Oryctolagus cuniculus: one gene and its partner. The protein of the gene in region 1 purifies or fractionates together with the protein of each later gene. This does not show direct contact. Links are inferred from orthologs where the notes say so. Each region holds a gene or a part of one and is shown on either strand. Other genes may lie near its edges.

Evidence for each region. Proteins that work in one complex are often made in the same cells at the same time.
Region 2: the proteins of ITGA4 (region 1) and ITGB1 purify together in Homo sapiens (co-immunoprecipitation; 4 studies listed by BioGRID and IntAct, with this or other methods). This does not show direct contact. The link is inferred for Oryctolagus cuniculus from reciprocal best matches to the Homo sapiens genes ITGA4 and ITGB1.

The regions. Positions count from the first base shown.
Region 1 is NC_091434.1:59,268,351-59,271,850, reverse strand, and holds part of ITGA4 (integrin alpha-4), read left to right. Parts: intron 1-2,122; coding exon 2,123-2,230; intron 2,231-3,010; coding exon 3,011-3,136; intron 3,137-3,500. UniProt on the Homo sapiens protein: Integrins alpha-4/beta-1 (VLA-4) and alpha-4/beta-7 are receptors for fibronectin. They recognize one or more domains within the alternatively spliced CS-1 and CS-5 regions of fibronectin. They are also receptors for VCAM1.
Region 2 is NC_091444.1:108,925,883-108,929,382, forward strand, and holds part of ITGB1 (integrin beta-1), read left to right. Parts: intron 1-448; coding exon 449-544; intron 545-1,233; coding exon 1,234-1,323; intron 1,324-3,098; coding exon 3,099-3,239; intron 3,240-3,376; coding exon 3,377-3,500.

The DNA.
Region 1 (3,500 bases):
TATCCAAGTTTATCAACACCAATGAAATATCCCCTATGCATCTTTTTAAAAAAAAATACAGGCTAATAATCCCTTATCCAAAATTCATGGGACCGAAAAAGAAATGTTTCATATTTTGGAAGATTTTGGATTTTTGGAATCCAAAAATATAAATTATGCCCAAATCTAAAATTTGTAGAAACAAGACACTTTCAAATCGGAGGTGCTCAACCTGCATTATTTAACTATTTATTTTGACAGGCAGAGTGGACAGTGAGAGAGAGAGACAGAGAGAAAGGTCTTCCTTTGCCTTTGGTTCACCCTCCAATGGCCGCCGCGGCCAGCGCACCATGCTGATCCAAAGGCGAGAGCCAGGTACTTATCCTGGTCTCCCATGGGGTGCAGGGCCCAAGCACTTGGGCCATCCTCCACTGCACTCCCTGGCCACAGCAGAAAGCTGGCCTGGAAGAGGGGCAACAGGGACAGAATCCGGTGCCCCGACCGGGACTAGAACCTGGTGTGCCTGCACTGCTAGGTGGAGGAATAGCCTAGTGAGCCGCGGCACCGGCCAAAACCTGCATTATTAAAACCAGTTTTAGTTTCCCAGCCGATGCCGCGGCTCAACAGGCTAATCTTCCGCCTGCGGCGCCAGCACACTGGGTTCTAGTCCCGGTCAGGGCGCCGGATTCGGTCCCGGTTGCCCCTCTTCCAGGCCAGCTCTCTGCTGTGGCCAGGGAGTGCAGTGGAGGATGGCCCAAGCGCTTGGGCCCTGCACCTCATGGGAGACCAGGATAAGTACCTGGCTCTTGCCTTTGGATCAGCATGGTGCGCTGGCCGCGGCGGCCATTGGAGGGTGAACCAACAGCAAAGGAAGACCTTTCTCTCTGTCTCTCTCTCTCACTGTCCACTCTGCCTGTCAAAAACAAAACAAAACAAAACAAAACAAAACAAAAAAAACAGTTATAGTTTCCTAGAACTCAGTAACATTCTGTTTTTTAAAAATAAATTTCAGTCACTTGTTACTGATCATCTGGTTAGCATGGAGTGATCCTAAAACACAGGATATAGAGCTCGAATCCCTGAATTTGTCACCTTTTTAAAAAGATTTTATTTAGGGGCTGGCGCCGTGGCTCACTTGGTTAATCCTCCTCCTGCAGCGCCGGCATCCTATATGGGTGCTGGGTTCTAGTCCAGTTGCCCCTCTTCCAATCCAGCTCTCTGCTGTGTTCCAGGAAGGCAGTGGAGGATGGCCCAAGTGCTTGGGCCCTGCACCTGCATGGGAGACCAGGAGGAAGCACCTGTCTCCTGGCTTCGGATCGGCACGGTGCGCCGGCCATGGCAGCCATTTGAGGGGTGAACCAACAGAAGGAAGACCTTTCTCCCAGTCTCTCTCTCACTAACTCTGCCTGTAAAATTAAAAAAAAAAAAAAAAGATTTTATTTGAGAGGCAGAGTTAGAGAGAGGGAGGCTTTCCATCTGCTGGTTCATTCCCCAAATGGCTGCAATGGCCAGTGTTAGGCCCATCTAAAGCCAGGAGCTTCTTCTGGGTCTCCCACATAGATGCAGGGGCCCAAGGGCTTGGGCCATCTTCCACTGCTTTCCCAGGCCATAGCAGAGAGCTGGTTAGGAAGAGGATCAGCTGGGACTTGAACCAATGCCCATATAGGATGCTGGTGCTACAGGCGGAGGCTTAGTCTGACTATGCCACAGTACAGGCCCCAAATTTGTTACTTTTTATCTTTCATTTGGGGAATATCACTGACACTTCTTAGAATTTTTCTGTGCTGGTACAGGGTGTAATGTTGGCCCACTTCACAAGATAGTTATGAAGACCAAATGCTATTTTAAGAATCCATAATGTGTATTGCTGTTGATGTCTCAATCTCGAGACAGTTTCTAGAAGAAACTGTCAGCCTAAAAATGCCTAAAGAGGGCTACAAAACTGACTAGAATTTGAAATTACTAGTAAACTTTAAAAATTATGACCATGGGTATTTTGCGCTCACTGTGCAGCTGCCAACTATAAAACTCCAAGATCACAAATGTTGCAGGGAATATAAGAGGTGACCTACAAGCTCAATGATTTTTATACTCACAATTATGAAAAACATTGAAAATGATTTTTTAAACCTTTCCTTTCCAGGTTATTAACACTGGCAATAGCATGGCTCCAAATGTAAGCATGGAAATAATGGTACCAAATTCTTTTATGCCCCAAACCAATAAACTGTTCAACATTTTGGATGTCCAGGTAAAAATGAGTTTCTTCTCTCAGACCTTTATTGGGTGTGCCTTAAATACTGAAACAAATGCAAACCTATACTTTAAGTAATCTCACAGATTTCTCTTATTTTAGCCACATTCAAAGCTGTGAAGTCATGATGCATTTATTGAATATGCTTTGTAGAAATACAGTGGAACTTCTATACTTGACACAATAACAGAACTATGCTCTGCCATCTTTATTGTTTTTAAGATACATTAAAATGTGACATACACCTGTGAGAGTAGTTTGGGTAGAATTCTCCATAAATCTTGAAGCCATTGTTGAAAGATCACAATTAACACTCTTTAAAAGGAAGTAACACTCAGATCACTTTTTAACAACTGATATTTTTGTGTTCATTACATCAGACCTATTTTTGTTTCTCAGTTTCAAGACAAGCAACCAAGAAATGAATGTGCTGAGTGGGTTTGAGTAAGAGTTTTAATATCTTACATGAACTCCAGATTTGTAGACTATAACCTATATTAACTTCATGTCAATGTTCAAACATCATTTTTTTTATATTTCCTCAAGGCTAAGACTATTTTGAGCCTAGGACATATATTCAACCCCCCTACAATTTTGCTGGATTTTCTCTTTTTGCCACAGAAGTGTAATCTCTTTCCAATAACCTGTCCAAAGGTATTTTCACAATGTCAGAGGTCCTTGATATATTTTAGGAAACATAAGAAATTAAGACTCATAAAAAGCATGCTGTGTGCGTTCCTTCCCATGATGAAAGATTTTTCTTACTTACTGTCATAGATGACCACTGGAGAATGCTTCTTTGAAACTTATCAAAGAGAATGTGCATTAGAGCAGCCAAAGGGTGCCATGGAGACCTTGAAAGGCATATTCACGTTCTTGTCAAAGACTGATAAGAGGCTGTTGGTAAGTTTCTGTTGTTCAACAGAACTTAAGACACACTTAAGACCTGAAGTCAACGGATTGAAGTTGTCAGCTGAAGGGTAGGAGAAAGTACAAGTTGCAATTTTCTTGAGTGTAAGGGACATGTATGCTTGGAGTTGTGATTTAGACCTAGGCTTAAATAGGAAGGTCTCCAAAAAGTTCATGGAAAATGGAAAATGCATATTATGAGAAAACAGACACAGGAATGCAAACTTTTGAAGTATCCATACAGTTTCATTATTTATCTACCAAATGGTCATTAACTGTCAGCCAGACAATGTTTCAGACCCATCAGAATGCCATGGTGCTCACCTGGCCAGCATGAAGTTAATTTTCATTCCTTTTA
Region 2 (3,500 bases), on another chromosome or scaffold:
GGGGCTGTCTCAGACACCACTTCAGCCCCTGCCTCACCCACAGCTGTCTGCTCACTGCCATACACTGGGTAGTAAAGTCAATGGTGCTTCTAAACAAGTCTTGCAGTGTTTAATCTTAGGTGGTTTTTAGAAGCAGGCACCTGCCTTTATTGGAAAAAAAAAAAAGGCAAATTATTCAAATTCTAGAAGAAATCCAAATGTTGAATTTTGTTCTTTATCTGAAGTGACAGATAGCAGATTCCTGACAGCTCAGTATACACAGATTGTCTGGTTGTTTAAGACCTTTTCGGTGTGGAGGTTTTCATATGTACAGGCAAGTAGAGGGGGCAGCATGGGGAACCCTCAGCTGACCTACCACCCGCACTGTCACCTGTGCAGGTATTGGGTTTTTCACAGAGCAGAGTGGAAGGAGGACCTGTGCACTAAACTGTGTCTCTTGATTTCTTAGGACTACCCTTCTATTGCCCACCTCGTCCAGAAACTCAGTGAAAATAACATTCAGACTATTTTTGCAGTTACTGAAGAATTTCAGCCTGTTTACAAGGTATGTGTGAAATAAGAAAAAAAAAAAAAACAAAGTGCTAGGATTTTTGTTGTTGTTGTCATTAGAGGTAAAAAGCATTTATGAATTAAAGTGTAGGAAGAAGCCACTAGGTAGGCAGACTGAATTTTTCCTTTAAAAAGATTTATTTGAAGGTCAGAGTTACAGAGATGGGTAGAGACAGAGAGAGGTAGAGAGAGAGGGAGGGGGAGAGGTGGGGAGAGAGGGAGGGAGGGAGGTCTTCCATCCCTGGTTCACTCCCCAAATGGCTAAAACGGCCGGAGCTGAGCTGATCTGAAGCCAGGAGCCAGGAGCTTCTTCTGGGTCTCCCACGTGGGTGCAGGGGCCCAAGCACTTGGGCTGTCTTGCACTGCTTTCCTAGGTGCATTAGCAGGGAGCTGGATCAGAAGTGGAGCAGCTGGGGCTCAAACCGGTGCCTATATGGAATGCTGGTGCCACAGGCTGGGGCTTTAACCTGCTGTACCACAGTGCAAGCCCAGGCAGACTGAATTTTACAAAAGAGGTTGATGTTAATTTTAATCACATCATAAAACTCGTCTTTTTCAGGTTTGACTCCCGAAGTTATTTAGGAAATGTATAGGGAATGAGTGTTTAAAGATGCAGGTTGCTTGTTCAGTAAGTGCTACCTGGTTGATGAATAGTATTTGACATGCTTTGTCTTTTAATTGCAGGAACTGAAAAACTTGATCCCTAAGTCAGCAGTGGGAACGTTGTCTGCAAACTCCAGCAATGTCATCCAGCTGATCATTGATGCCTACAACGTGAGTGCCTGTGGATCAGAGCAGCTCTGACAGTGCCCTGTGAGGGTGAAACTCCTTAGAACACAGGCTGGGAAGCCCAGAGGATAACACACAACTTATGTGCTGTATCTGGGGGAAAACTTGATATTGTCTCAGAGAAGCATAGTCTAAACAAAGCAAAAACGTGACAGAGCCATGTGGGAAAACCTCAAGTCTGTACATCACCAAGTGAGATGTCCCTGTGGGGAAACAAAGCAGGTGTGATGTGTAACTGACGTCTGATCTGTAGGGGCCCAGCCATCCTCTCCCTCCAAAGTGTTCTTTATAGATTCTTCTATTTTGGTGAATTGTGGTAGAAAAGCTTTTCGGCTGTTTCTTTCCTTCCACACATTCAGAGAACATGTTTTCTGTTTTTAGGGGGGAGTACACACATTCATCGCTACATACAGCATAGAATGCGTAAACTGTAAACATGTACTTGTCTGCAGCTTGATTATTTTAACAGGCTTATAGGATTGTTTTTTCTGCACATGTGCAGGTGAGGTGAAGTCAGAGAGGAACTGTGCTCTCTCTAGATCTCAATTCAGAAAACCGTTAATGGCTCTCAGGAAGCACTGCTTAGCAGTGGTTTGGAAATGCACTGTATACTTTCACCCCACTCACCCTTTGGTTGGTTAAATTTTTGATGTTTTTTTGCAGTGGGAGTCTAAAAATGTTTTGGAAAGAGCTGAGTCAGAAAGATGGACTGGGCTTTGTTTTTTAACTTTTTTTTTGAGAGTTTCCATTTGTTGGTTAACACCCTTAATACCCATAAGGGCTCGGGGGCCAAAGCTGGGGCTGGAAACTCAATCCAGGTCTCCCATGTTGGTGGCAGGAACCCAGCGACTTCAGTCATTACTGCTGTCTCCTAGAGTTGGAATCAGGAACTGGCCAGCTGGCAGTCAAACCCAGGCATGTGGTGTGGGTCGTGGGCATCCTAGTTAGTGTTGTAACCAGTAGGGCGGATGCCACCCAGCAACTTTGAAGATTCCAGTAGTTCCTTTGTCTTCCCCCAGCTGTTTTTTCTCAACAGACTGTTTTCCCAACTTTGATCTTTATTAAGAGTGTGAGCAACAGGTAGTTTGCTACTGCAGCCCTCATTGTTCTGAGAGGTCGGAGTTTTTACAAAATGTTCGTTTATATACAGACAGAACTCCCATCTACTGGTTCACTCCCCAGATGTCCACAAGGCTGGGACTGTGCTGGGCTGAAGCTGGGAGCAGAGAACTCGGTGTCCCACATGGTTGGCAGGAAGCTAGCACTGCCGCACACCTGGGTCTGCATTGGCAGGAGGTTGGAATCAGAAGCCAGAGGCCATCCTCAAACCCACTTGTAGGGTGTGGGCATCATTATTAACCTCTAGGCTGACTGCCCGCACTAGCTTGAGTCTTTCCCCCTTAAGAGTTTTTAGTCTTTGCTGGCCAGGCTTACAGTGGCTTCCAAGCACAGTCGCTCCCAGACTGCGCAGTAGAGTGCCTTGGCCATAGTGAGTTGAGGACCTGGAGACTTTGCCCAGGGGGTAAGGAACACACTCCTCCTCGTCAGTATCAGGCCTTGGGACTGCACGATCCTTGCTGTTTTACCTCGTTGTAGGAACAGAATGCCCTTTCAACCATGTAGGTGGTTCTACAGATGAGACCCTTATTAACCAGTGCCTGTTTGTGTTTTGTAAGACTTTACAATACTGTCTTGACTGGTCATCTTATGCATCCCAGGAGCATTTCAACTTTCTTGTGTATAATTAGTCTTTCTTTTAGTCCCTTTCTTCAGAAGTCATTTTGGAAAACAGCAAATTGCCAGAAGGAGTAACGATAAATTACAAATCTTACTGCAAGAACGGGGTGAATGGCACAGGGGAGAACGGAAGGAAGTGCTCCAATATCTCCATTGGAGATGAGGTATTGCTTATTTATAAGCAAATGCAGTTCATGATTTGAAACATACTAAAAAGAAATGAGTGGGTTTTTGAGATAGTTTTTAGCAGATTCATGTTGCTTAGCTTATTGTTCACTTAATCTTGCTTTTTTCCTTCAAGGTTCACTTTGAAATCAGCATAACTTCAAATCAGTGTCCAGTTAAGCATTCTGAAACCATTAAAATCAAGCCTCTGGGCTTCACCGAGGAGGTGGAGGTGGTCCTTGAGTTCATCTGCAAGTGTG